7 linked regions of the Tribolium castaneum genome follow. The protein of the gene in region 6 purifies or fractionates together with the protein of the main gene of each other region. This does not show direct contact. Links are inferred from orthologs where the notes say so. Each region holds a gene or a part of one and is shown on either strand. Other genes may lie near its edges.

Evidence for each region.
Region 1: the proteins of U2af50 (region 6) and Prp19 purify together in Homo sapiens (affinity purification with western blotting; 3 studies listed by BioGRID, with this or other methods). This does not show direct contact. The link is inferred for Tribolium castaneum from reciprocal best matches to the Homo sapiens genes U2AF2 and PRPF19.
Region 2: the proteins of U2af50 (region 6) and putative RNA-binding protein Luc7-like 2 fractionate together in Homo sapiens (co-fractionation; 3 studies listed by BioGRID, with this or other methods). This does not show direct contact. The link is inferred for Tribolium castaneum from reciprocal best matches to the Homo sapiens genes U2AF2 and LUC7L2.
Region 3: the proteins of U2af50 (region 6) and Cdc5 purify together in Homo sapiens (affinity purification with mass spectrometry; 5 studies listed by BioGRID and IntAct, with this or other methods). This does not show direct contact. The link is inferred for Tribolium castaneum from reciprocal best matches to the Homo sapiens genes U2AF2 and CDC5L.
Region 4: the proteins of U2af50 (region 6) and cleavage and polyadenylation specificity factor subunit 6 fractionate together in Homo sapiens (co-fractionation; 3 studies listed by BioGRID, with this or other methods). This does not show direct contact. The link is inferred for Tribolium castaneum from reciprocal best matches to the Homo sapiens genes U2AF2 and CPSF6.
Region 5: the proteins of U2af50 (region 6) and U2 snRNP-associated SURP motif-containing protein purify together in Homo sapiens (affinity purification with mass spectrometry; 3 studies listed by BioGRID and IntAct, counting the BioPlex papers as one, with this or other methods). This does not show direct contact. The link is inferred for Tribolium castaneum from reciprocal best matches to the Homo sapiens genes U2AF2 and U2SURP.
Region 7: the proteins of U2af50 (region 6) and Cbp80 purify together in Homo sapiens (affinity purification with mass spectrometry; 3 studies listed by BioGRID and IntAct, with this or other methods). This does not show direct contact. The link is inferred for Tribolium castaneum from reciprocal best matches to the Homo sapiens genes U2AF2 and NCBP1.

Annotation. Positions count from the first base shown.
Region 1 is NC_087395.1:23,126,225-23,130,208, reverse strand, and holds the start of Prp19 (pre-mRNA-processing factor 19), read right to left. Parts: upstream 2,801-3,984; 5' UTR 2,793-2,800; coding exon 2,669-2,792; intron 2,547-2,668; coding exon 2,397-2,546; intron 2,353-2,396; coding exon 1,889-2,352; intron 1-1,888. UniProt on the Homo sapiens protein: Ubiquitin-protein ligase which is a core component of several complexes mainly involved pre-mRNA splicing and DNA repair. Required for pre-mRNA splicing as component of the spliceosome.
Region 2 is NC_087399.1:9,864,837-9,869,136, reverse strand, and holds part of putative RNA-binding protein Luc7-like 2, read right to left. Parts: intron 3,047-4,300; coding exon 2,615-3,046; intron 186-2,614; coding exon 1-185. UniProt on the Homo sapiens protein: May bind to RNA via its Arg/Ser-rich domain.
Region 3 is NC_087400.1:3,567,162-3,571,297, forward strand, and holds the start of Cdc5 (cell division cycle 5-like protein), read right to left. Parts: upstream 2,801-4,136; 5' UTR 2,596-2,800; coding exon 2,154-2,595; intron 2,010-2,153; coding exon 1,323-2,009; intron 533-1,322; coding exon 1-532. Other genes in the region: Yod1 (ubiquitin thioesterase Otu1), read left to right, coding at 3,169-3,858, 3,909-4,121.
Region 4 is NC_087402.1:4,011,784-4,015,748, reverse strand, and holds cleavage and polyadenylation specificity factor subunit 6, read right to left. Parts: upstream 2,801-3,965; 5' UTR 2,668-2,800; coding exon 2,611-2,667; intron 2,430-2,610; coding exon 2,217-2,429; intron 2,166-2,216; coding exon 1,584-2,165; intron 1,539-1,583; coding exon 607-1,538; intron 552-606; coding exon 374-551; 3' UTR 137-373; downstream 1-136. Other genes in the region: uncharacterized protein LOC658351, read left to right, coding at 3,109-3,238, 3,290-3,702, 3,756-3,939. UniProt on the Homo sapiens protein: Component of the cleavage factor Im (CFIm) complex that functions as an activator of the pre-mRNA 3'-end cleavage and polyadenylation processing required for the maturation of pre-mRNA into functional mRNAs.
Region 5 is NC_087403.1:337,015-341,257, reverse strand, and holds the start of U2 snRNP-associated SURP motif-containing protein, read right to left. Parts: upstream 2,801-4,243; 5' UTR 2,631-2,800; coding exon 2,613-2,630; intron 2,563-2,612; coding exon 2,446-2,562; intron 2,396-2,445; coding exon 2,299-2,395; intron 2,250-2,298; coding exon 2,060-2,249; intron 1,448-2,059; coding exon 663-1,447; intron 47-662; coding exon 1-46. Other genes in the region: arrestin domain-containing protein 3, read left to right, coding at 3,745-3,853, 3,900-4,243.
Region 6 is NC_087399.1:6,083,456-6,087,627, reverse strand, and holds the start of U2af50 (splicing factor U2AF 50 kDa subunit), read right to left. Parts: upstream 2,801-4,172; 5' UTR 2,644-2,800; coding exon 2,628-2,643; intron 2,574-2,627; coding exon 2,435-2,573; intron 2,392-2,434; coding exon 1,982-2,391; intron 1-1,981. UniProt on the Homo sapiens protein: Plays a role in pre-mRNA splicing and 3'-end processing. By recruiting PRPF19 and the PRP19C/Prp19 complex/NTC/Nineteen complex to the RNA polymerase II C-terminal domain (CTD), and thereby pre-mRNA, may couple transcription to splicing.
Region 7 is NC_087397.1:5,580,077-5,584,376, reverse strand, and holds part of Cbp80 (nuclear cap-binding protein subunit 1), read right to left. Parts: coding exon of another isoform or gene 2,221-4,300; intron 2,151-2,220; coding exon of another isoform or gene 2,115-2,150; exon of another isoform or gene 2,001-2,114; intron 685-2,000; coding exon 446-684; intron 398-445; coding exon 1-397. Other genes in the region: mucin-2-like, read left to right, coding at 2,115-2,150, 2,221-4,300. UniProt on the Homo sapiens protein: Component of the cap-binding complex (CBC), which binds cotranscriptionally to the 5'-cap of pre-mRNAs and is involved in various processes such as pre-mRNA splicing, translation regulation, nonsense-mediated mRNA decay, RNA-mediated gene silencing (RNAi) by microRNAs (miRNAs) and mRNA export.

The sequences.
Region 1 (3,984 bases), on a different chromosome or scaffold from region 6:
CATCACAATTCATAGCCAAAGATTGTTAAATAGTGTTCAAAGGCGATGTGTTATGTGTGTTGAACAACAAGGAAGACATTTCCAACAGTTTTTATAAATAATAAATAAATTTTATGATGAAAATCTGTTTTCTTTTAGTTGTCAAAAAGTAAGGTTATGAAAGAACGGATTAATCACAGACATAGTAAACAATTATTTTTTTATTTTCAAAGCACTCTAGAGTTTTTTTTAAATGAACACTTGTTATTGTGTTAATTAATTTGATGATTTTAGCCAATTCTAGCAAAAGTTTGTGCTTACAGCCCGGAAAAAAGTAAAACTAACACAATTTTCGACTTATTTATAATGAGTTTTGACGAATTTCACTCAAACTCAAATATACTAAATAATTAAATAATAATTAATGTCGATTCACTTATGTGACAAGATATTACAAAATAAATTAGTTTCCGAATGGTTTTGAACGAAATTTTGCGGAATATTTGTGGTTTTAAGTGTAAAACGTATTAAAATGATCGCAAATGAAAAATTAATGTAGTTTTCTATATTTAATTTGGCGATTAAAACAAAAATTCAAATGTGCTTGAAAGCATGAATAAAGAAAAAATAAGAATTTTAACAATTTCATTGGTTTCTTGTCTTGTTTTTGGGAACATTTCATTCAAAAATAAGCTGATAATAAGTTTTTGATTTTTAGGTGTTTTGTCAAGATCTCGTAAAATAAAAGAGTCGGCTTTTTATTTTTTTTACGAAATTTGGAAAACAGTTCTGTCTTAAAAGCGTACTAAAATGCTCGTGAACTCGAAAAATAATAAAATCTTAGAATTAATTTGGTGTTTTTTTCATCTACCTTTTTAGAAAAGCCTCAAAAAACAGAAAAATTATTTCTGCATGTTTTTCTCAGTTGGTTTTGCAAAATTTCGCCAAAAAAGCTGAAAATTAAATTCAAAAACGTGCTCTAAAGCTTAAAAAACGTAAAAATTTTGATCAAATTTTGTGGTTTCTTGCGTTTTTTTTTAAAGGGAATTTCGCGAAAGTTAATCAAAGTTAATAAAAACAAAATAATAAGTTTATATTTTTATTGTTGGGAAATAAATAAATTCCTGGCTCAAAAACAAACAAAATCGAAGGGAATGGTCTAAAATAACAACCATCTTGATGTAAAAATAGTGCTTTTTTATTAAGTTTTTGTAATGTTTATAGAAAAAAGCTTAAATTGTTTTCAAAAAAAATTTAAAACACTTGAAAACAACAAAAAAATGTAACATTTTCGCTCTTATCTTAAAAAAAAAATTCGAAATAACTACATTGTCGAATGTTATACGAATTAAATTGCCGGAAAATGGCAAAAATAACAAGATTTCAACGAAATTTTGCTTTTTGACTGCAAAATGTATTACGAAAATAGAAGATTTCCCAAATTAATTTCCTGATTTCTCAGAATAAGTTCGAGATAAACAACCTGAAATGACATCATTTTCGATCACTTTATTGAAATATTTAGATATTTACTTAAAAAAAACAACGCATTTTTGGCTCAATTCAATTAGAATTAGGTTAGAAAGAAATTCTTTTATTTGAACGAACATTTAGTTAAAAAATATCAGTGTTTTGAACACATCCTGTGACTTTTGGCTTATTTTTGATGAAATTTCGCCCAATAACAAGCTAAATCGAGTAAATCCAGCAAAATAACACCAACCTTTACACGTTTTTCCAATTGGTAAATGTGCTAAAACACTCGTAAGAGAGAAAACTAAGTCATTTTCTACCACATTTAGTAATCTTTGCATTTGTCAAGTGAAATTTTTAAAACGACAATTGTGCAAAATGCAAGAGATGTTCGGGGAAATACTGGATGGTATAAATAAAAACATTGAAAATATACCGGATGTGAGGCCAAAGTCTTGAATCCCCTCAACTGCTCCGGCGTGGACACCTCTTCAGGCACCGTCTTGCTCCTCTTCTTCCTCTCCTGCGTCAACACCGTGGCCTTGTCCTGCAGCTTCTCAATCACTTCATCAGTCAGGCCGCATTGCTCTGTCGGCTGGTTGGCGATGCCGCCGGCCTCGGCCGCCACCGCGGGCTGCGGCACCGTGATGATGCCCGCTTGGGGCTTCAGCGTGGCCAGCGCCTCCCTGGCGGCGGTCACCTCCTTGTTGAGGCGCGCGATCACGCGACACGCGGCGTCGTGCTGGTAGAGCGCGTGGCTCAGCTCCTGGCGCGCCGTCTGCAGCTGCTGCCTCTGCGTGAAGCTGTACAGCATCACGGCGTCCCACTCGTCCTGCAGCAGCTTCAGCGTGGCCGGGATGCTGGTGGCGCTCGGCGGCTTCGGCTTGACTATCGGCGGGGCTGTGTGGCGGTTAGAACCGAACAAGTTGGGTTAGGCTACTCACTCTTAATTTCAATGAGCTTGTCCACGGTGAGCTCGTCACCGCTGATGGGGTCCTTGCCGTGCTCCTGGATGTACTTTTCGATGATGCGTTTTTCGAAAATCGCACCCGACGTTGGGGACACGACTGGGTGTTCCGGCACCTCGTTTGAAACTGAAACCGGGCCAAATCGTTACCCAAACTGCGCCAGAAGCTCATTACTGACACTCGAATTAAGTTTTGATTCGTTAAAAAAGCGTACTTTATTCAAAATCGCAACAAAAATTCATACTTACGGGCACAAAACAACGCCATTTTTGCTAACTTAGCTTGATGTGTCGCCAACCGCACAAAGTGAAAAACACTGTGGCCGAGATATCTGTGCAGATGCACTAAAAATGATGATGGCACCATGAACATTACAGTCGACCAGACAATCGTTGCGCGCCTGGAGCTAGCAACATTCTCGTTTCTACAGCCAAGTTCACACCAGGAAAATTATCAAAATAATCGTAAATCATTAGAAAAACATACCCTGATCATTCTAATGTGTTTCTATTACAAATTAAAACTTGACTACATTTTTATTCTTATATTCAAGCAATGCAAATTGTTTTTTTTCACCCCCTTTTTACCGTGCAATGTTCATTATTTTTGTAGGGGAATAAGCCCTTCGATAGGGCCTTCGGCTGTAAAAAAATGTCTCAATTTTGCAAACTGCGTTAAAAAAATTCGTATTTAAAGATTGCTCTAATCAGTCAAATTAATAACTAATTTGTCCAGCAAGAACCACGTGGAGGTTTAGAGCATTCTTGCCAGGAAAAAAGGAAATAAGGATGAGGTAAACAATGATTATTGGAAAATAAAAGGGAATAAAGACATTACTGGTTTGTGTAATAAAAAAAAAGTACACAAAAATCAAAGTTTTTCACTTGGCGTTAAATAAATGTTCTTACCTTTATACTGCATCTGCTACCATTTGTAGCAAAACCTAAAAAATAAATTAAAAACACAACCAACAAAAAAAAATAATTTGTAGGAAAGTTACAAAAAGCGACACTAATAAATATTATACAGAATAAAGGATGCACAATACGGTATAATATATGGCACACAAGCTATTAAATTCAACACATCACAAGATAAAACGCAAAAAAATGCACCTACCTTCATATGGCTTCTGCGTTGGCTACTGTTTGTAGCAAGACATTAAAAAATAAAAACAACACCAATAAAAAATCTTTATTTGCATGAAAGTTACAACAAGCAACATTTGTCAATATTAAACAAAATAAAAAATACACAATACGTTTTAATATGTGGCAATTTAAATTTAAAACTTCAGTAAATAAATACACCTACCTTCATATCGCTTCCACGTTGGCTACCGTTTGTAGCATTAAAAAAATAATAATAATAAAAATGAAACCAAAAAAAAATGTTTGCATTAAATTTAGAGCAAGTGACTTTCATCGATTGAAATTAAAGACAAAATCAAAACGCGACGATAAATTGTTTGAGTGTTTTCTTTTTAGTTACTGAATTTAAAACTCAAACTATGACTTTTCAACACCGTATTAGAGCCGGTGTACACAACATTTTATTTGCAATT
Region 2 (4,300 bases), about 3.8 Mb from region 6:
CTGTCATTCTTTTCCCTTTCTTTGCGGTCCCAGGATCTGGAACGGTGTCTTTTGGAGCGTCTGTCCAGTTCGCGCCCCCCGACATACTGCTCGCGGTGTCTCTCCCTGTATCTATCTTCCCGATCGTCCCGGTCTCTGTCACGGGAGGACTTGCGCTTTTCCTCCTTCCGTTTCTCGGCGTTTTTCTACAATATATAAAAGTATAAAATATTTTGAAATTACTTAAAACTCCTTAAAGTGGTTGATATTGACTACGTTAAAGATGGCATTAAAATATTTATTTTTAATTCGTTGCGACGTTTCTAGTCTCCAAATGGTTAATTTTAATCTAATGTGAAGAAAGAATAATGAAAAAATGTCGATTTATTATTGAGTTTGGAGTGAATTTACTTTCTAAATTTAATTTATACTTAAAGCAGGTCAATTAATACTGAAAAATTTAAATTTTTTTTGAGTTTTGGCCAATTAGATGAGCTTTATGCACGATTTATTTAGTTAAGAAACTCAAAAACGTGTTTAGAAGCTTGAGAAAAAAAAAACCTTTTTCTGGTCGACATTTTGACATTTTTCAGCCTATCTTGACGAAATTTCGCTTAAAAACAAAAGAAATTGCCTGAAACAGGCAAAATATTTTAATCTTATTATGATCACTTTATGTGATTTATTGTGATTTCTGGGAGCATTTAATAGAATAAATAAGTTTCAGGTTCAAGACTTGAAAATGACTGAAATAAAATAAGATTAACATTAATTCGATCAAATTTGATGTTTTTACAGCCACTTATGCCCATTTTTTTTTAAATAAAGCACTAAAGTGTAAAAAGCCAAAAGTTGGTGATTTTTTGGTTTTCTTTAGCGACATCTCTAAACCTAATATTTTTAACTCAAAAACGGAACATGATTTCAGACCGAATGTTACGGTTTTTCGGCTTATTTTGAAGTAATTTTGCTCCAAAATGAGCTAAATCGAGAGACACTAACATCAATTTCCATTTATTTTGTAATTTTTTGTTGTGTTTTAACGAGTTCTTTTGTAAAGTCGATCTAAAAAAGACAATTAACATCAATTTCGATCTAATTAGATATTTTTTTCCCCAATTTTACCTAAAATTTTCGAAAAGAACTTTTTTTGCTTCAACAAAACTCGAAGAAAACTAAAATAACACCCACTTTAGTATAACTGGGAAACTTTTCGATTTGTTCTTAGTTTCTATTCTAAATAAGAATATCCTGCTAAATAATGCTAAAAAAAGACAAAAACAAGATAATTTTGAATTTAAATTCATCGAAATCTTCAGAAAAAATGATACCTTAGCTCTAAAAAGTGCTTGAATTCTTGGGAAACGCAGAAATAGCAGTACTATTTAACTAAAATTTATTGTTCTTGAACAATAGATAGATCTCTCGACGAAAGCTGGTAAAAATAACCTAATAATCAAAATTTTTCTTAAAAAAACACCGTTTTTATCTCAAAAACCTGTTTAAAAATTCGAAAACCTCGAATTAACAATGGGGTCTAACTTGTTGAAATTTTGTTTGCTGTTTTATTTGAAAATGTTAAGAAATAATTCCTTAAAACTATATCAAAACATATGGAAAAGGAAAATGAATGTTATTTGACTAAAAATGATTTTTCAATCGATTTCTTGCAAGAAACTGAAGATATATCTTGCAAACACGTGTTTCCAAAAATACACAAATAACATATTTTTGACCACAAAAAATTTCATACAAAACAGAGCTTAATCCAGTTAACATAGCTTAAGAATGATCTTGCAAAATAAAGTCCAAATGCATTAAATCGAGAGAAATAATCTAAATAAATTAATTGTTTTGGTGATTTTACGGCTAACTTTAACGAAGTTTTGCAATTTCTGTCTGGAGAATGTGCTAAAACACTCAAAAAACAAGAATTGTGTAGTGCTATACTTAATTTGGTGCTTTTTCGGTCTCCTCTAGTGAAATCGTGCAAAAAACTAAGTTTAACAACCTTCTGACCAAAGTTTGTTTGAAAATGTTTCTAAAATTATTGACGTGTTCAAAATCAAACAAAATAAACGAAATTTAATCAATTCGACCTAATTTTGTAATTTTCCAGTTACGGGGCTTGAGAGGGGAGGGGAGGATAACATAATTTTTACTAATAACTTTTTTCTTCTTTTATTTTTGATGTAATCTCGCACAAAAATAAACCAGAGCGATTCAAATACCACCAATTTAGAATATATTTTTATTAATTTTAGACGTTCTCTGACCTAACCTTGTAAAATAAATGAGTATCTGATTCAAAAATGCATTAAATCCAGTGGAACATCAACTTCAATCTAATTTGGTGAATGAAATATGCAAACTAATTTATTTTTTGCGGGGAATTTAAAAATTGCATGTATATATTTATATTATATATAAATATTATGTATTTATCGAAGAGGCCGTGAAAAATTGTTTCATTTGTCATGTTTTTTAATCAACCATCTCCAACCAAAAATCGTCAATCATTTCAAAGGATAAATAACGAAATGTCTCTGATGATTTTTGAATATGACAGGGTTTGGTTGCGTCATTTTCAATTTAGGTGACTGTACAAGCTGTACATAAAACACAATATCCTTACCTCAAGTTCGGCCAACTTTTCCCGAATCTTAATAAACCCAAGATGTAATTTCCCGCCGAAATGATCAGCGAGACGTCGATCGTTATCATGTATGCCGAGATAAGCGGAACAAACTTCGCAAACTCGTAATTTCTGTTGTTGGTAGCTGCTTGCCGGCATTGAATTGCGATACTCTTGCTCGGCTTCCAATTTACGCTTTCTCAATTCGTCCACTTCCTCCATGAGTTTCATGCTTTCGTCGACAAAACCCTCTTCGCCGAGTTGCTCGGCTTTGGCGAGCTTTTGACCGATTTGTTCCGCCAATTCGTGCACGCTGTTCGCTTTAACGGCCACTTCAGCCGATAGTTCTTCTTGGGTTTCGGCGAGGCGTTGCTTGGCGGCCTCGGTGCGACGGTCGCAATCGGTGATAAAAGCTTGCAGATGTTCCATTGCCTTCAGGAATTTTTTATCACTGGTTTTATATTTTATTGGGTATTGGGTGATATTCATAAAAATTTGTAATTATCAGTTTTTTTAATACTTATAAACATACTTACAAATATTAGTATTTAATAGTTAAAAGTATCACTTCAACCTAAAAGTGAACACTTGAATCCAAATGTCAAAAGGAGATGCTTATCCTTATGACGACCATACAAAGTGAGACTACTAATGAAGTACTATATTTTTACTATACGTATCTCAGAAATAAATAATTGCACAGAATTTAGGTTGACTATTAAATAATTTTTTATTTAATTTAATTTTAATTCAGCGATTCCAGGAATAATGCAACCTGACACCGTAATTTTCAAAATAAATTTAATAATGCAAAGTTTCTTTCAAAATATACGATTCAGTTTGTATTTGATGTATTTTACAACAAAAAAGTTTTTTTGTTGTTGTGGATTTAAAACATGAGACGATAATTATTTAAAGTGAATTCCAACATTTACATACATTGCCTTGTAGGCAATAATATAAAATACTGTTGACAGCTGACGTACTATAATTGGTAAATAATTTCTGAAGTGTTTTTTAGTTTCTGGTAGTGTCCCATCCATCATGTATAAACAAAAAGTAAATTAATCGTAAATCAATGCACACTGCATTATTCCTCGGTTTCGAGAATAATTGTAGGAATTAGTGCATTTTAAATTAACATAATATTTAACAATAAAATGTAAAGTCTTCTTTATGTCCTATTCGCTATCAATTTGTGTTTTTCGTGTTCGTATTTAAAATTTTACAACTGTAGGGTGCAAATAGTTGGACTGGTACTAAGTTCCTTTTCTACTGATAATATTTATAAAAACCGTTAAAATGAATCACAAAGATGGGTAGAAAATTTCGTAGATTCAAAAGTTTTGCAATATTTCATTTTTTGGATGTTGAATTAAATATCAAAAATAAAATAACTACTTAGAAAGATGGTACTAGAAGTTTAAGAATGATCATTTTTACTCGAGAATAAGATTTCAACAATTTTTTTTTCTTTTAAAGCAATTTTAAACAATACAAAAATATTCTGAAAAAAATGCATGAATGATGGATGTATCAATTAAAACCAAAAATGATTACTAGTACAGTGTATCTCCTCCTCTGGCATCAATAAAAATTTAAAATCGCCACCGCATACCATTAACAAGGACAGATATTCGTGCTTGGGCAGAATTTTTTTTTGAGTTCTTAGGACTCTGTAAAGCA
Region 3 (4,136 bases), on a different chromosome or scaffold from region 6:
TGCAGCTCGGTCAACGAATGCGACTCGTGATTCGGCCGCAAAACGGCCAAATTTACATCGTGGGGGCGCGGCAGCCCCCTTTGAATCACCTGCGACCGCAGGGCTAACTCCTGAGCCGCCCGAATTTTCGCTTCTTCAAGCGCTCGCGCATCAACATCTGCCTGATCTTCGACAATATTTGGCGTTTTTTCTTCTTCTTTTTCCTCTTCTTCCTGTTCGGGAACGACGATTTCGTAGTCGTTCTTCGGTGTCGGTAAACTACTTAAGCCTAGTCTTAGTTGTTCTTTTAAATTGTTTTGGAGCGAACGCTGTTCGGCTGGAGTTTGTGCCACCATTTCGGTGTTTTCCTCATTTATATTGAGTTTGTCACGAACTGAAGGCGTAAAACTGCCTTGGGGGCCCTGCGGTGTCATGAAACCGGGGGTTTGGGCCCCGAAAGGGGTCGCCAGGACCGTATTGGGAGTGGCTATGGTGAGGGCTTGTGGTAAAACGCCCGAAAAATCCGAGTTGTGAAGTGGCGTGTTTCGGCCCCCTTTTGAAAGAGATATACAAGGTGAGGCAAAGTTTGCAGTTTGGCGTTTTGCGACTAAACTATTAACTTTTTGGGAAAAGTTATTAGTGGATGGTACACTACTATAAAAATGGGACTTTTTTCAAAGTATAAAGTTTTTTAATTTTTTCGTTCGTTTTGAAGTTATGGTATTTTTTAGGTAGTAACCCACCTAGAAATTTTTTTATTGGTTATTAAGTTATTGAGACAAATAAAGTAATAAAAAGAAAGAACTACAAGTCATTTAATGTCAATTTCATTTTTTTATTTTTTATTTTTTTTACATATTATGAACAAGAAAATTGATATTTCATCCAATAAAGACAGATTTGGAATCTTCAAACAATTTTAAGTCACATAGGCATGCTCTTGGCAGGGTATTCAGTTATTGTGACTTAAATAGTTTTTTTATTGGTAGGTGACAAAGTAAAACTTTTAACTGTATCTCTATATTTAGCTCGTATTATAAGAAAAAAAAAATTTTTTTTTAATTTATTTGTACCTTTCTTAATTATTATTACGCACATTTTTAAAAATCAAGAACTTACAAAAGTTCTTAATTTCGGGATATTTTTGAGCAATATAGCGGGTGAGGCAAACTTTGCAATTTAGTATTTTTTGGCGAAACTATTCACTTTTTGAAAAAACAGATTGGTGGACGGTAAACTACTACAAAATTGCAATTTTTTTTCAAGAATAAAATTTTTCGATTTTTTCGCTCCTCTTCGAGTTACGTCATTATTTATTTATTTTTTTGTGATTTTTTTTTTACCTTTGAGTGGGGTATCCACATGCGTCAAAGCCATGACATTTTGCGCTTCTTGAAGTATCCGATCAGTTTGCGGTGCCGGAGTTCGGGGAGTCACCGCTGCCGCTTGTGGCGCCGCCACCGTATAATCATTGAACAACGTATCAGTCGACTCGATTCCACTCTCTGCTGCAACTTCACGTGCAACTTCACTCGCTTTACCCAACTTTACGACTTGTTGCAACTCCAGATCGCTAATTTGCGGCTCGGGAAGTACCAATTTCGAGCGTTTTTTCGCCGGTTCTTGATTCTGTAGCATCGCTTGTGGAATATCATTTTCTTTTCTTTGTTTTAATTTTTGTTTATCTTTGCGACGTTCGCGTTCTTCTTGTTCGCTTCGCAGTTCACCGTCGAGATGTTGTTGACGCATTTTGTGAAAATCGGGCGCCATTGGATCAACAATTTCGGTGGAAGTGTCGTAAAAACCAATCGCTGGACGTTTTTCGAAGGGGATTTCCTCATTGTAGTCAACACCGCGTTTTTTCTTACGACGCGAATTCACTTCGATGCCGGCAGCTCGAAGCTCGCGCCTTTTTTGCAGTGCTGCCAATCGACGCGCTTCTTCCAGCTGCTTTTCGCGCGCTTTTCGCTTCGCTTTTTTGCCCTGGGTGTTGGCAAGCCTGGCGCGCGCCTCGGACAACATCTCCAGCTCTGCAACGACAAACACGCGTGCCAACCTTTTTGCGTTATAGTATACTATACAGGGTGATTCTTTTGCGGTTTTGAAATTTTTATTGCATTTTTGAATTCGTGTTTTGAAACTGAGAAAAATGTACCCCATTTGTTAGCTCTTACCATCCTCGTCCATGTCTTTGGGGTCGGGCCTCGCAGGCTTGGTTTCCGGATTGGGGTCAATTTCCCCCGGTTTGAGCTTCCGGGGGTCGTCCGTGACATCCTCCCCTTCTTCCTTCTTCTGTGCCTGATCCAGGAGGTACTCGTAGCGCTCCAAACACTGAGCGGCCGTTCGCCCGATTATGGGGGCTATCGTGCGCCACTGAGTCGGCATTAACTTGGCCAAATGTAGCAACTTTTCGTCCTCTTCCCGCGACCATTCCGTTTTTTTAATACTGGGGTCCAACCATTCGAACCAACGCGCTTTACACTGTTTGGCCGATTTGCGGTGAAGGAGCGAGGCAATTCGAGACCACTGGTTTTTCCCATATTTCATTACCGCCGCTTTGAGGATCTCATCCTCGGTGTTGCGCCAAACGCCCCCCTTTATCATTATACGCGGCATTTTTGCACTCTTTAGTTAAAAACCTAACCTCACTTTTGACAAAAACTTAAATTTTATAACAATACCACTAAAAGCACGATAATGATGCTTGGGTCAACACTATTGAGTCACTAATTAGATAAGAAGTAATTATTTTGGGACACTAATGCAAAAAACGGCCCTTTTTAAACGGCTTGATTTTTGGTTATAAAAATGGCCGTCCTTGAGTTGGCATAACTGTTAGTCGAGAAAAAACAAAAATTGGGGATTAAAAATAATCAGAACCGTACTTAGAACGTATTAATCGTGACACGAGACTGATCTAAAACGTGATAATTTTTTCCTGTCTTGAAATAATTAAAAAAGTGTGGTTGGTATCTCGCGTCAGTCGGCGAAAGTCCCTAGCCCCCCCAAATCCCTGTGTTTATTTAACCCTTTTGAAATGTTATCTCGGTGATAAAGCGCCCAAGTGTTGCCCCCTTTCGCCCCAATCGTCTAAATTCGGGCCCCAAGCCCTTAATTTCGCCCTTAACCTCACTTCTCCTGTCACTTGTCACTCCCAACTGTCATTGTTATTAGCCCCCAGAGAGCACCATGTCGTTCGCTTTGCGCGTCAAAACCAAAACGGGGCAACAAGTGATCAAAAACCTAACACCTGAGCACACGATCAAAGATTTGAAGCGCCAGTTGTGCTCCATATCGCAGATCCCCGAGGACAGGCTCCATGTGTTGTCAGGGTTCCCCCCGAAGGCGTTCGCCTTGGGGGACGATGGTCTCGAGTTGAGTCGCAGTGGTCTCAAGTCGGGCGATACCCTGATTTTGGAGGAGAAGGCCCGGGAGACTGCGCCCCCCTTGCGGGGCCATATCAGTGAAAGTGTCGACTGTCCGGGGATTCTGATGAAGAAGGTGGTGCCGGCCGACAACTCGTGTCTTTTCAGTAGTGTTTACTTCGCCCTGAACGGGAAACTGGACGAGAGTGGCACGGCAGCCCCCTACATGAGACAAGTGATTGCCGAAACGGTGGCCAGCGACCCCGAGATGTTTTCCGAGGCGATTTTGGGGAAACCCAACCGTGAGTATTGCGCCTGGATCCAGGACGACAAGTCATGGGGGGGCGCCATCGAGTTGGCCATTCTCTCGAATCACTATGGGTTCGAAATTGCCGTCGTAGACACGATCAACGCTATTATCAACCGGTTCGGGGAAGACCAGCATTACACACTTCGAATTTTTCTAATGTTTGATGGTATACACTATGACCCCCTTTTTTTGGAATCGTCCGATGTAATTTCCTTACTCAGGGGGTTATCAAAAAATTATTTGATTCGTTTCAGGGGGCGAGTATTCAGACGATTTTTCCCACTGATGATGATAAGGTTTTACAAGAGGCGCAGGAATTAGCGCGCGAGGCGAAGTCGAGTCGACAATTCACTGATGTTAACAAATTTACGCTAAAATGCATGAATTGTAATATTTTCCTTAATGGACAATTGCAGGCAAGGGAGCATGCGCAAAGTACGGGACATACGAATTTCGGGGAAGTCTAGCACTGCCAGTGACCA
Region 4 (3,965 bases), on a different chromosome or scaffold from region 6:
GATAAGTGTACAACAAGAAATGTTACAAGAGGTTTAAATAATAAATAAATAAAAACAAGTGAAGGGGTGATACAGTACAAATTACATAACGGATCAAGTAGGTTAATCAATCAAATAAGAGAAAAATAAAAATCCATTCTCAGTCTAAACCATATTTTTTATCTAAAACATACAATCTTCTTCAGATTAAGCGTCTTCTTCACTCTTCTTCTGTAGAATAGGTTTAGATATTACAAACAAAATAAACATTTCGATTACATAATGAAATTCAGAGATGTGTACTAGTTTGACCTAACACTATATAAGTATATTTTTTTCATTACATGCATGACATGTATGGTACAACATATTACGAATGCGGCCTAAAAAATTGTTAATGCCGAGAACGATGAGATTCGTCTCGACGATCTCTTTCACGTTCCCGTTCACTTTCACGACGTCCCTCCCTTTCACGATATCTATCTTCGTAATAACGAGATTTCGATGTCGGCTCTCCTGAGGGATCCACTGCGTCAGGAGGCGACTTGTTCCTGGACCGGGACACACGGGACCTATAAAAAATCCAAACTAATAATTTACTCAACGTCGTTGCAAAATACCACTTACGCATCATCTGCTTCTCTGTCTCTGTATTCGCGTTCCCGTTCCCGGTCTCCTCTACTCCGGGATCTATCCCGCTCCCGCTCCCTGTAACTATCCGCATAGTATCTATCTCTATCGCGGTCCCTGTCACGATCTCTGTCTCTTTCACGGCTTCTTTCGCGATATCTTGAAGACGATCGTTCCCTACGACCTCTCCTGTGTGCTCTATCTCTCGATCTTGACCGATCTCTTCTTCCCGAACTGTAACTCTTATCCTCCACACCTCGTAGAGTATCCTGTAACGAGCTAATCAAAATCTTACACCTGTCATCATTCGCGACTTTCGATTGTTTGATGAGAGATATAGCCGTGACCAATGTCTCTATTGCGCTAGCGTATTCGCCGGCGGCAGCATCCGAAACCGCTCGAGCGATAGCCGACGACGAAACCGTCCGATTTCTTGACATAATATCCTCAAACTCTTGTTCGCTTATTGGGGGCATATCGTTGCGGTGATCCGGAGGCGGGCCTCCATACGGTGGCTGCGGCATGCTCGTAGGCGGTCCATAACCGTGGGGCGGACCATGCGGCGGTACACTATTAGGCCCCATCGGGGGGCCATGTGGAGGTCCATGCGGCGGGCCTTGTGGTGGCCCCTGCGGTGGCATAGGTCCGGCCTGCATTGGATGTTGCATCTGGGGTGGAGGACCGCCTTGCTGGAAAAATGCGGGGTTTACGTGGGGTGCCGGCGGCCCCTGGGGCGGGCCTTGTGGCGGAGGGCCTCCCATCGGAGGTGGTCCTCGCGGACCCATGTTGGGGCCCTGCATGTGAGGCGGTCCCTGGGGGAAGCCTTGCTGCATCGGGGGGCGGCTCCAGTCAGGACGCATGGGGCCTGGAGGAGGGCCCTGGTTGGGCATTCCGCGTGGGGGCATCTGTCCCTGTGGGGGGCCCTGGAACTAAACGAAAAGTTACTCCCAGTTTGGGGTTTTTGCGAAGATTACCATTGGTGGTCGTGGAGGGCCCTGTGGGGGCGGTCCGGGCCGCATTGGTCCCATGTTCGGGCCAGGTCCGTTGGGTCTGGGGCCGTTCCATTGCGGTTGTCCTTGGAACCGTGGAGGCTGTCCTTGGTTCATTTGAGGGGGGCCGTTGTAGCCAACGGGGCCTTGCATTCGGGGGACTCCCGGGCCGGCCATGCCTGGCGGCATGGGGCCGCGCATTTGGTTGTTCATGGGCATTCTACCACCGTAATTTTGATGGGGACCTGGAGGAATGGAATTGTTAGCGTGGCTAGGATGTTGGTTGCGATTACTGGAATTATTTGAGGGAGAAGGCCGGGTTTTGGACTGACTTTCGAAATTGCTGAGGGCTTGTTTGGTTGGGAGTGTGACAACGGGATTTTGGCCATTGATCTCCTTCTTGGGGAGGTGGTCCATGCAGAGTCTCATGCTGGTTTCAGAGCCCAGAGAAATGACGCAGAAGCCCTTCGACTGGCCATTGGCTCTGTGCTCGAAGAATTTAACTTCGTGGAAGTCATTGACGCCGATGTCGTGGACTGCATTGGCGATGTCTTGATCAGTGGTCCACTAAAAGACCCGTTTTAAATCAAAAACATCAGGAAAGTTATTTACACATACCCAAGTCAAATTCCCGACATACAATTGGTGCCTTCGCCCCACATTTGGAGTGATATTGTTGCCTTGAGTCGAATAAGTGTTTCCATTGGTCTCTTCCGTGGTGGCCGTAGTAGCGGGCTGATGGTTGGTTTCCGTCGTTTCCGTACTGTTGGTGGCCGCGGGAGCGGCAATTACATCGTCGTAGAGATCGACGTTTTCACTCCCGAAGTCGTCCTAACACCAGAAGACACTATTTAACCCGATTTTTTACGACAATGGCCAACAACAGGACCGGCAACAATCACTCCCAACTACAGCGACTAGCTTCGATTTGGCACCGAAACAAGCGCGGATATTGACCGGAAAGGACACAAGGGCCCTTCTAGAGAAGCTTTCATTTATTTTAGGGACTTACCTGGGCAAAATCTTGGTCAATATCGTCCGCGTATAAATCAATGTCGTTGTCCGCCATCTTTGAGGACGCGGAACAACACCACAAGAAGAGCAAACAAGTATGGCGGATTGGCAGAGGAGGCTGCGCTTTCGGTCGAATTCAAAATTCGCGCAATCGAAAGCATTTTATTTATTTAAACCTATAATATGCATTCTTGTAAATGCTCCTTTATAATAAAAATAAAACATCTGGCAAATTGTGTTGATTCCAATTTATTTCGGTGATAGAGTAACATAAAAAAGAACAAAATAAAATTTCAAAATTTCCCAGATGTCGGGTTGGCGCACATGCGCTTCACTTTTGACGTCCTAATTTGACAGTGTGGTCGTGACTCGTTTATTGTGTTTATTTTCGTTAAAATTTGGGCAAAAACTTGGCAATTTTAAACACAAAGACGATGTAGTGGGCCCTTGGGTAAAATCTCGTGTGTGAATCAAATCAAAAGGCTGCTTCAAAGTTATGGATCATCTCGCCCAAGATTTGAGCGTGGCTCTAGAAGAATCCGAAAGTTGTGGTCCCATAACTTTCGCTCATGAAACCCCCGGAAAATGGGGCATGAGACGTCGCACTCGCTCCGCGGGGAACTTACGTAAACGGTTCTCCAGTAAAAAGGTGTCGAATAACAATTCTGTAATTACAGTAGTTTACATGAACAATTCCCCCGATAATCAAGCAGAAGACAGTTCCAGCAGTAATTCCGAGACTCGAACTGAGAAGACTTCAAGTAGCTTCGAATGGCGGTTAAAACACGCCTTACAGAGTTATATCAGGTACAGTAGGCGGTGTAAGTTGGGGGTGAACCACAGTTTAGAGAGCGACTCAGTGAATGAAAATTCGCCAGCAAGGCCAAATTTGCGCCGAAAACGCAAACTTAAACGCATGAGTATTGACGAAGCGCCGGTGCCCCCGTGTGGCAAGCGCAAGCGCCCCCAGAGATTCGACATTGTCGAAAATGGGCGCTCTTTGCGGCACCCGACTCGAATCCGCCCTTTGCACCAAACTGTCGTCGACAAAATTGAGAAAATGTTCCAGAATTCCTCAAATCTGGACGACGTGAGTAGCTCCCATCTCCTAAACCCACCCTGAATAAAATCAAATTTCCTTAGACCAACACCATGGAGACGCAGAGCATCGACGACTGCGACTTCACCAGCGAAAGCAGCATAAGTTGGAGCGGGGGCGAAGGCCACGACGGTGACGATGAACTCACAGACTGGGCCCCCACGATGGACAACCCCTCTTCCATGGAGCAGCCGTTCAATGAGGCCGACCCGCGTGAAATTCGTGCCGGTAACCTGTCCCCCTTCCACCTTCAG
Region 5 (4,243 bases), on a different chromosome or scaffold from region 6:
CCGGCAGTGTACGAATTCATCAGAGGGGGCTTCCAAATTGAACCGTCTTCGCAAGCAAACAAGAAATGTTTTAAATTATATAATTCTATTACAAAAGATCTAGATATTTTCTTTCATAATTTCCGACCAAAAACTCTACAATTCGATCTATTTAGTCTCTTTTTCTTCGTAATTTATAATGTTTTGTACAAGTGTTATGTCTCTATTTTGTCAGTTTTTTCTTTTTTGGTATTTTTTTACATATTTTATTTGTATTGTTTATATATTGTAACTGTAATGACTACTCGTCCATTTATATAATTTTATCCATACGAATTACATACAATACAAATGTCCTTCATATACTTCAGAGTATACGTCATTTTTTAAGAATAAATGTTTTTAAAGGTGACAAAATTTACTGGAGGATATAAAACCAGAACAACTTTAAACGATAAAAAGAACTTTAAAGAAAAACACAAATGGTATTATTTTTATTGCTTCTGTGGATTTTCTTTAAAATTCAATAATATCCCAACTTTTTTCAAAGTTTATTTGTATCCGTATGTTGTGTATCATGTCTTGACGGAGATTATAATTTTGCCGTTTGAGAGCGTTTTCGCGAAATCTCCACAAAATTAACACGTTTTAGAGCAAAACCGTCCAAAACACCAAATTCTTACTTTTGAAAAGTCGAAACTCTTTGACGCTCCACTCTTTCTGTGAATCCCCGTGCATGATGGAGTAGAGTTTCCACCGGTAGTAGATATGAGCCGGGCTTTGATTTTCGAAAAGAAACCTGTAATTAGGGTTGTGTATCTCCCGGTTCATAATCATAGCTTCCAACATGGGCCCCTCCCGAACCACAAACTCGACCATTCTGTGTATCAACATCAACAGATTTCTATCGGTCGGAATCACAACTTTGACAACACTGCGCCCCAAAATCTCGTTCAGTTCCTCTGCAGATTTGGGCAGAACGTCCTTATCCCGGGCGCAGGGCTGGGCGTTGAAGGGCAGTCCTGAGGGAGGCGGAGGGAAGGACAGTTCCAGGAGCGCGGGAGGGATGTAAATGGGATGTGGAGGGATTATTACCGATTTTCCCCAACCAAGTTTCATTTCATAACCTAGGATTTCTTTGCCGTTTAAGTTACGAAGCGCCCTTTCGCCGTCTTTTCGGCTCATGTAGGCCACGAAGCCGCAGTTGCGGCCCCGGGCCTTCTCCTCGTCCGAGCGGGGCCACATTATTTTAATACTAGCAAGGGGGCCGTAACGACCGAAAATTTCCATCAACTGTTGCTCGGTTATTTTGGGGTTGAGGTTGCCAAGGTAGAGGTTTGTCGTTGTGGGGTCGCCGTTATCGAACGACCCCAAGTCACCGCTCCGCAAAAACATGTCCAGCTCGGACTCCATGGGGGTCCTGAGCACCCCTTTGTACTTGTGTCTTTCCTCCCGCTCCTCCTGAATCCTGGCAAAAATTTCATCAAATTGTGCCACAAAACAAGAGACCGGTCAGAATAGACATTTCAATTTCCAAAAATTCGCATAGCGGTGAAAATTCGTACAGGACTTATGTAAACTATGACAAATAAACTATAAAAAAACTCCCCACCGATCCGACGTGTGCTAAAAAAATATTTTAATAACAATAATAATTTATTTATCCTTAGAAAATTTACATTAATTTATAGGACACGTCAAGTAATAAACTCATCATAACTGTTTTATCAAGATATGGTCAAATAATACGCCTAAGTATTTTATTGTTCCTAAGTTTTCAAAATTTATATTACGGAGAGAGAAAATCATTCATTTTGTTTTGCGTTCATTTAAACATAAGTACATTTGCAGACCATACAGGCGCTTTTTCCTGCATTTGGCATAATTCCGGCTTTACAAAAAAATGCAAAAACCGATACTTTTGTCCTTTGACATTGAATAACTTTTTTAGCACACGTGGGATCGGTGGGGACTTTTGATATTTTATTTGTAATAGTGTACCTAAGAACTGTACCAATTTTTAGCTCTACGCTTATCACTACATTTTTGTCTATTTTGACCAACTCAATGGTATATTTACTGTCTTAATTCCTCTTTAAACGCCTCTAGGTTGCTCTTAGTGTGCTGTTTCTTCTTCCCTAACCGTTCAGGCTTCTTATCTGAGATTAATTTAGCGTAAAACTGAGCTTTTTCCGTTGATGCCATTAATTCAGTGGGGGCTAGTCGGGACTGCGGTTTGTACAACTTGCCCTTGTCTTTAGTATCCTCCTCTACAAAAGCCCAATTTATTTTTGATTTTTTTCACAATTTAAAAAATACTTCGCGCTCCTGCATCGTAAGTCCCCGCTTTGACCCACACTTTACTCGAGCTGCTAATAGGGGACTCTTGGAACGTAGCGACAAATTCCTCAAAAACCTTAAATCGAAGAGGTTATGTAAAAAATACTACTGTATTACTAGTCCTACATGAGCCGCAGCCCGTTCCTCTTCTTTTTTCCGTTGTTCCTCTAATTCTTTTTTAGATAACGAACGTTTCCCCATCGTGCCGATCGAAAAAGCCTTTAATTTTTGCTCAGGAATGTTCTGTTACGAGAAAAACGTTAGTTTTGAGGGGTTTTATTAGGGTGAACTACCTTTATTTTATCACCCATTTTGGACGCAATTCCCACCAAACACTTCACAAAACGGTTTTAGCTAATTAATATTGAAGGAAACCTAATAATAGTCATAATATAATTGTTTAATTTCCTGATATGAAAAAATAATAATACACTGGTGGTTTTAGGGAGTTTGCGTTTTCATATTGTGGGCTATTGGCGACGCTGACACTGCGTGTAAACGTTCCCAAACTTTGGGCGAAAATACATGAACCAAAAAACAACAAAGTTAAAACAATATCCACACGTTTTTGTACTTTTTGTAAAAAACTAAAAAACTCGAAACTAAAAATTGATAACGTAATTATGTAACGTTTTATAAAAAATGGGTGTATTACGTGTTGCCTACAAGAACACTCCAAAATCTCGTAACTATGTTTATTTCAAAAATAAACAAAATGTTTGTGTTTACTGTAATTATTCAAGTCATTAGCTTCATTATGTGTTTATCATTTTCACATAAATCGTCCTATAAACTCATCAAATAAAAAATATATATAAATTAATAAAAAACGCAGACTGTTAATTAATATTTGTATCAACAAAAAAAATCATTACTATTTTATTTTCATTTTATTTTGGGAAATAATAGTCTCTACGACATGTGAATCGCTAATTACATAATCACTACTGCCAAGGCCGCTTTAGAGGTCGCCGCTCATTATTAGTATTATTGCATAACAGTGCACTTGAATTGCAGTTTTAGGGCGAAAAACTGTTTTCGTAGTCATCGATAGAGTAGTGTTTACGTGTAGTCGTATCAGCATTTTACGTTATCTCATTCATTTAGTCACAATTCTCCTTCCTTGTTTACTTCAATGGCCACAATTTACGACCTCTTCGTCTCACATTAGTGGGATGGGCTCAAATATTTCAACCAGTTTTTATTTTTAATTCAATTCAGTGGCGCCATTCAAGGCTGAATTCTCGTCGAAGTGGTGAAAAGAAATGAATTACGTCTAATTACGCCACGGTTTTTCTTCACTTAGGTACGTGGATGATTTATAATTGATTTATTAAAATAAACTGTCTCATTCATGAAACACTAAGGTAGGTTAGGATTTTACGACACATTTTTATACAGGGGGTGATCCACAATTTGGGCGAAATGTCTCAAGTTCGCATTTGTTTGGAGAATTATTCTGGGACATATTATGCCGGATCTGAGATTAGGGGCCGGCTTGAGTGTTATTTTGATGAAGAGACTACTGTTAGAGGTGCATTATGATTTTTGTAGCAATGTGTTTTTACATTTTTTTCTAGGAATAAAACTTGAGATCATATGTAGGGAACATAATGAGTGGACTGGGACTGAGGAGTATAAGGACCCAACAGACAATTCCACTAAAACACGACATATTACTTTAACCGGGGATCATGACGTGTTTCATGTTAAACAGATGTTGTTTGGGTCTGAATCTGGGAGTCGGGAGGTGTCTAGGGGGCGCCAAGTGTACCCTTTTTCGTACCATTTACCCTACGATATTCCTTCGAGCTATCATGGCCCCCATGGCTCCATCACTTTCAAACTAAAGGCTGTGGTTGATAGACCCATGCGGGTTGATTATGAGGATAAGTTTATTTTTAATGTCATCTCCCCGATTGAT
Region 6 (4,172 bases):
TGTTTTTAATTTTAAATGTCCCAATCTTTTATGTCCACCGCTAGATTTATACCAAATTTATACCAATTATTACAAAAATTATACCTTTATTACAAAAATTATTGTTAAAAAAATTAGAAAATTAATTTCAACTCACCATGACTTTATTAAAGTTGTACATACTTATCAGTTATCATGACTTTACGTTTAACCGCCCTAATTGTTAATTTTAATATTAAAGAAGTCAAAAGAACATTTATATCTCCGGAACTTATTTAAAAAGCCAAAAACGTGACGAAATAGAACTAATTACGAAACATTAATCCACTCCAAGCTATTTTTTGAGATGACATTAATTAATTTTTGTTTCCATTTTTATTAGCCCTCGAAATGTTTGTTTCAAAGGAAAATACGCTGCGATTTCACTTCGAACTTTTCAGTAATTGAAAACTGCAATAACTTGATGAGTGTTACAAATAACAAAATAATTCTTGAACTAAAAATGTATTTGAAGTGTTTTCATCTCGATTATGTAAGGGTTCGCGTTTTAAAATAAAAAAATTAAAACTTTCTCACATCTCAAAAATTTCACAGCACGTACATTTTTTCAGTTTTCTCTTATCAAAACCCAGCCTTGTGTAAGAACGTTATTTAGAAGGAAGATATGAGGATGTAAACGCACAATTTGTCCAGTTTTAGGTTTTTAATTTTTTTGCTAAACGGCCATTCCAAAAATAAAACCCTACACCGAAATTTTCAAAATAAATTTAGTAAAGTTTCTTTCAAAATACACAATTCGGTTAATACTTAATGTTGATGCTGTACTTTCTACTGATACTATTAAAAAAATTGAAAATAAAATCTTAAATTTTTTGCAGTGTCCAGTTAAAATATGTACACACAGTATTAATACAATTTGTCTTATTAATTATTATTACACTTAAATAAATAATTTAGAAAACACTGGTGTCTTTATTATTAAATTCTCCGTAAAAAAGTGGCTATCTTAATTTTTAGAATACGAAATTATGAATGTTTTGTCTGAAATTATTTACTCAAAAGCATAAAATGTGACAAAGTAGTAGCAAAAACCAATGGATCAAACAAACCTCGTTATTCCTACCTTGTAACAACTAGTTATCTCACAGATTATAACTTTTGTTGATGACATTTTATCCATAATCTTACACAATGATTATTGTTGCGGCATTTAATGTTATTCAGTTTGTTACTGGCTGTTGTCGTGAGTGAACGTCTCATATAAAATTTAACATACTTTGATATTGTTAAAGTCTTTAATAATTAAAACCTATGTGATTAAATTTTCTGTACTTATTTTCACACACAAGATTTTTTTTCTGCCGACAGTTATGTGTAAACAAAAAATTTCGTGGTTCGTGGTTTCAGTTTCAACAAGTTCCACCTTTTACTTCAAAAATAATTCTTGCAATTAGTGCCTTTAAATTAGCAGAATTTTATAACGATTGTTCATCAATAAAAATGTGAAATTTTTTTTGTCCCGTCCGTCATCGATTTGTATTTCTTTTCCTGTTCGTATTTAAAATTTTACAAATGTGACTGTAATTGTAGGTTGCAAACAGTTTGACTACTACTAGGTTCCGAAAAAAAAATCACGTCTACTGACCTTGTTCATAAAACTTAAAATAAAATCTAACAATTTGTGCAAAGTGCCCTAAATTCAAATTTAGCTGAAAAATCTACAGAACAATCAAGTGTTTTTGATGTTTTTTTTTTAAATTGTACATTAACATTTAAGCACCCAAAGCTCTGTTAATTTGAATAATATCAAAAAAAGTCGAGAGAACATTTTTGCGTAAAATTAAATGCTTTATAATTTTCATTTAATACATTTTTTTTTCTAACTCGTACCGAATTTGAGTAATCTTTAAAAAACACTTCTTTGACTACGTTTTGCAATACTTGTATCCCCTAGATTTTGATATAAAGACTTATTTGACCGGACTAATTACGCCAACCCCACCTTTGAAATTAATCCCATCAAAAGCCATCGCTTGCGTCGTCTCATCAATCGACCTAAACTCCAAAAAGGCGAAATTCTTGTCCAAATTAATCTGGCACGCCAGCACCGGATTCCCTGCAGCTTGCGCCAAGCCACTGAGATGCATTTGCTGGTTGAAGAACTCCATCATCTCCTCCTCAGTGACCCCGAAGGGGATATTCCCCACATACAGCCGCCTCGCCTGTCTCGTAATAGTCGACCCGACGACAGGCACAGCCGCTTGGGGCGTATCCGCCACGATGTTGGCCGGGATCTGCCCCGCGGCCTGCATGGCTTTGTACTGCAAGGGGGTGATGTGCTCGAACCCGGGCGGGGGCACGTCCCAGTACAGCGAGGGCTTGCGCCTCCGCGAGTGGCTCTTATGGCGACTCCTAAACCCCCAATTAATCCACGAAACCAAGGCGAAATACTCACGTTGAGCGGCTTTTCCGGCGGCGGTCCCGGGACCTGGAGCGCGACCTCCGGCGGTGCTCCCGGGAGCGGGAGCGCCGTCGGCGGTCCTTTTCGCGGTCCCCGCGCTCCCGGCTCCGCTCCCGCTCGTTGTTTTTACCGTCTAGAGGGGTTAGAATTGGGTGAAACTCGCCGGTTAAGTGGGGCCCGGACTCACCTTTTTCCTCCCCCATTGTGGAACAGTAGCACAATTAGGTCAAATTTTACAAAAATTAAGCACAATTTGGGTCAATTAACTCAAATGTTTGGTTTGTTTTTAACACAACTCACAAAACGTTCAAAATGGCGTCAATTAATGTCAAGGGGATTGTGGGTACCTGTCGGTAATGTCGCAAACTGTGTCGTTTGAATTACGATTAATTTAATTAATTATTTACAATTACGGTCTTGCTTAACTTGTTATTGTTAATTGTTTGTAAAAGTACGATTGTCGTGCGGCGGTAAAAATATTTTGCTTGATTGACGTAAACAGAGTCGGACTGTTTTTCGGAAAATTACCACAGGGCCGGCTTCAGCCGAACCAATCGATCTATTAATAAAACACGTTTTGTTAGATTAGTGTGTGCATACATTGTAAACAAACCGAAAAACATATTTTGTAACAATAAGACTAAAAACACTTTCAAAGCGGCGATAAATTAATACAAACAATTTGTATTATCAGTATCACTAAAAATGTCGGTGAACTTTTGCTTTGTTACCAAGCTGGTGGCAATTAATACTTAATAATAATAATAAACTTTATTAAATATAATGATACATTTACAAAAGGGAACAGTTCGCAGATGCTATCTTCCATTGGCCCTTTCATTTTTGCACAAAATTTGATAATAATCACACATCATTAGAGATGTGACCAGTTTCAATTTTATTTATGAATCTAAATGCCTAAACTACTAAAAATACGAACTAGATTACAAATTTTGAAAAATTGGAATAATTAGGATTATATTCATGACGTCACTTGATAGAACACATGATAATTGTTAGTGAAAAACATATGACTATCCATTAAACAGTCATTAGTCTGACAACTACTGTCATGGTAAAATTATATGAAACAGCCTGTACATGCTCATCAAAGCACTATTAAATTACTAAATTTTTCCTAGTAAGTTTTTGGTTATATAAATTCAGTTGTTGATTATTTTCAATCAAAGATTGCCGTCTGACAGTTGTTTGCATTTAGATTTACACCGTGTTTTTTGTATATAGCTTTATAGTTTTGTCATAATTGAATGGAAATGTCAGATACAAATGCATATCGTTAGCATACATGTGAATTTTACAGTTAGTTATATAATTAGTAAGATCAAAGGTATATAACGAAAACAGCATCGGACCCAATACACTGCCCTGTGGTACCCCCCGTTTTAATACAGGGTGATTCAAAACTACCATACAATCTCTCGAGTGTTGAGAAAAGACTGAATTAAAAGTTCCTATGGCAAAAAAATGTTTAAGCTTTTTTTCACGAGATATAGCTCCTCGAAGTTAATTTTTTATGTTAATTTTTTGGTGCTTCAGATCATATTTTTTTTTAAACAAATAGCTGTTGAAAAAAATAACAATTAATATCTTTATGATGTCCAAAACAATGAAAAACTTGTAAATTCGACAATAAATTAAATTCGACATCCTAAGAAACAACAAATATATATAAGAAAGTTACTTGAAAAAAATCTGACTTTATTTAATAGCT
Region 7 (4,300 bases), on a different chromosome or scaffold from region 6:
GTGCCGCTTCCAACTTCTCTTCCATCCTTTCAACATACTCTTCAGTTGGTTTCTCGTTATCAGATTGCTTCTTCTTCGAATCCTCATCTTCAGACTCACTTTCGCTGCTTTCAGCCCGTGCTAGTTTCTCTCTAGCTTCAGCTAGTTCACCCCCTAGCTTAATCACGTGTCTGTTCATTTTTTTAATAGTCAGATGTAAAATTTCCCACAAGTACATTTTGGTGAATTCGGCCGTCATCTCTTTGGAAAAAATCCAATTAGCGACCGCTGAACACTCGACAATTTGAATTTTCAACATTTTGTCAACTAAAACGACCATCATTTGTTGGTGGTGGTGCCACAATTCGAACATGTTTCGTAAAACGCAAATTTGAGCTTCCTCCGACTCTGCTAAAATCTATCAAAAAAAAAGTGATTTAAGACACAAATGTTCAAGCCTGAGTACCTTAAAAACGTAAAGAAACTTGGAAATCGCTGCAAAACTGTGCGAGAAGCTCTTCGACCCTAAGTTGAGTAGAGTTTGCACAAAAACGTCGATTTTGAGAGGATTAAATCTGCTATCAGTCTCTTCTTCTGAACGGGGGTTTGGGAGGTCCTTAAGCACCCCTAGGACCTCCTCGGGGGTGCACTTCTGACGTATTGACACCACCAATTGATGGGCAGCCGTAGTACCCGGAAGTGACGCTAAAACACGATTTGTTATGCATGACAAAAAATTTCATAATTTTGGTTTCGCCACGACGGAAGCTGGATTTTTTCACAACTCCTCATAATCCTCCGTTCCACTTTAAATAAATGAATTATTCAAAAAAACAATCCGTTTAATACAACAAAATTGTTTTCCGCAAACCGAAACGGAAAAGAAAAATTAATAATAGCGGAAGACCACCGACCAGAAAATCCAATATTGTTGCAAGTAATCATAACGGAAACGTTCGTTTTTTCTCGAACGCATATAATCGTATCCCTTTCTTACGCAAGCTGCAATGTATAGCTATTTTCTCGTGTTAATTGGTCAAATTCACGCACGTTTTACTTTCGGACTTTTTCCTTTAAATTACAAGAATCACTTCATACCGTGACCATTATGTCAAATTTGCTCATTGTGATGATTGTTTCAAACAATTGTAATCTTCATCGTGTAACATGCACTTTCGTTATTGTTTTTCGTTTCGAAATCTCCAAGCGTAAAGATGCGACTTTGCGATATCGCCGCTGACTTAAAATCGGTTCTTTTCAGAGCAATTAAGTTCAAGGTGAAACTGAAGATTCGTGAGCAAAATTACGAATTAAAAGAAAAAAATAAGAACGATCGTAAACATCTCTGGTTTCATAACGCGGAGATTAAATCAAAGGTAATGAATTTGTGCAATAAAAATGAAAATATTCTACCTCAAGTACTGAATTTTACGCAAATAGGGTCTTAGGTAACACCACAAGGTTTCAATTAGCCACGCTTTTCGGTGAAAATAAAATTTCTCTATTTTCCTTCGAGTAACATAAAGAAAAAAAATGTTTTTGCAGAAATTAAATCAACAAAAATCCACCATCAAAGAAGAAGGTAAAAAATAAATTAAATTAAAAGTGCGAGTCCATTATTTATCGTAATGAAAATGCAATTATCAAGATGTTGCGACAATACAAATTCATCATAGAATTGCCAATAAAACCTTGCTAATAAATTTTTAATTAAAAAATCTCACTTCGGACAATACTTTTTCCGAAGGTTTAATTTTAACAAACCCATCACTCTTAATAAAAATTTCAAAACTTCATTGTTAATGAGAGTCATTTTAGTTAATTACTGTCGTGCCAAATTAACTTGTCCGAAAATAATAATTCGGGTTTTTTCTTAAAACCCCGAGATAATTATCTTGGCATGTGTCTAAATTAAGTAATATAATATGCACATTGCACACACAAGAAAAAAATAATTAATATTCATCAGTGCGCAGAAAAGTAGACAATGTATTAGCAATTATGTCGAAAGCTTCTAGGATCATCGGTGGGGTACTCTTCAATCTCTCTAAGTAAAAAGATTTAGTTGTAAGAAACCGAGCGAACTAGTGACATGTGCAGCTTTCAAACATTTGCAAACACCCAGTGGGTCTAAAATGGGACACTTCGAAATAATCTTCATTTTACTCTTGGTAATTTTACCACGACTAACAATCCCATTCAAGTCCAAGGTTATTAAAAAATGAAAACTCTCATTTTCAGACTCTCCAACTATGGGAAACTGTATCAATCACTCGACCCGTGCGAAACTTTCATCCTCCCACCGACTGGGAATTGGGGCTGCGTGAGTCCGTGCATCAGGCCCTCCTCCGGGAACACTACACCGACCCGGGGCTCCGCGACCGCCTCCTGGCAGCCCCTTTTATCAACCGACAGGACGACGCAAGTCCTTTCGGAGACATCGCCGTTCTGGCACGAGGACAACTCTACATAACCCCTGAAGGTTTCAAATTTGTTCAAGACGTGGACTGTGATTGTCAAAGATGCCTCACGTCGCCCCAATGCCAGTGGAAAACCTTCGGTCACCATAAACTACTCGCACTGTGGACGGTGAAGCGGATAAGACATCGGGACCCCCATTATGGGCACGTGTACGAAATCGAGTACACGATTTCGCCCATCACGCACACCATCAGCGAGGATTTGGTCAAAAGACATGGGTTTTTTAACTATAACGTCCCGGGACACATTTTCGTGATTAAGAGCGATCCGGGTGTGAACACAGTTGGACAAAAAGAGTGGTTCAAGAAAGAGGAAGATCATGGACACTACAAACCCGGAATTTTAATACAAATGACCCCGGATGGGTACAAACACGTGTTGCACAGTTTTCCCGGATTTTTCACTTCATACCACGACCAAACAACAATCGATCCAAAAGAATACGAACTGTACAAAAAATTGATCGAGTCATTGGCGGCGAAAACATCAAGTGGGCCTCACCGATTCTCAGTTACGACTCCTACGACTACGACTTTTGTCGTAAGTGAAGGACAATTAATCCCGATTACGACTTTACCGACCCAAAGTTATACAAAGTCGCCGAAACCCATCACAACCATTCATTATTACACTCCGGTTGAGACAACAACGGAAAAACAAGACGAGAGTTTTGATATTTTTTCGGAGGCGTTACGCACAACTACTACGAAAAAAATTACGACAAGTGAAGAACGAGTTAATTTGTTCCCGGTTAGTCCAACCGAACCGATGAAACCGGTTACGGAAGTTCCGAAACACACACGACCGGATTCAATCAGTGAACAACTTCCAGCCCCTGATCGAAACGTTGAAACTACAATTCCGTACGTTACCACGACTCAACCTTCGGTTAGGAAAGAAGAAAGTACCACAATTGAAAAAGTACCGTATACAGAGCAGAAAACTACAATTATTGGGCCCTTTACGACCGAGAGGGTTAAAAGTACTACGTTTTATACCACTGTACCGAAAAGTAGTACGGTGATTGAGGCGGTACCCGTTAGGACTTTACACACTTCAACCAGTCCCAAAACCACTTCGACTAGCCCCAAAACAACTACTATAATAGAAGCAGTTCCCGTCAGAACTCTGCACACGTCAACCACTTTTCTACCATCGTCTAGCCCCAAGACTAGTAGTTATGAAACCACAGTAATAGAAGCAGTACCCGTTCGAACTTTACGACCTACAACTGGTCATGATACCACTTTTTCCACATCATCCAGCCCCAAAACCACCAGTTATGGAACCACTGTGATAGAAGCAGTGCCAGTCAGAACTTTGCACACTTCAACCAATCAAGGCACTACTTTTCTACCACCGTCTAGCCCCAAAACTAGTTACAGAACGACTCTAGTAGAAGAAGTACCAGTTAGAACGCTACACACTTCAAGTAGTCCTAAAACTACTACCACAATCCAAACAATACCCACTACAACTCCATATGGTTCAACTACTATAGTAGAAGCTGTACCAGTCACAACCCTGCAAGGTTCTACTATCATAGAGGCGGTACCTATCACAACTCCATACCTGTCAACTAGTTATGGTACGACTGTAGTAGAGGCGGTACCCACTACAACTCACCCGAAAAATACGTACGAGACAATAGCAAAAACACCCAGTTATGAAACCACTATACCAGAGATAGTACCTACGACCACTCGGAGTCGAACGAGTTATGGTACCACTTTAGGAGAACCCGAATCTGTGACAACCCACCCTAAACCCACCACAGTCACGGAATTTTATTTCGAATCAAAGCCAAAAACAACAGTAACGCAACAAAAATTCACAATCC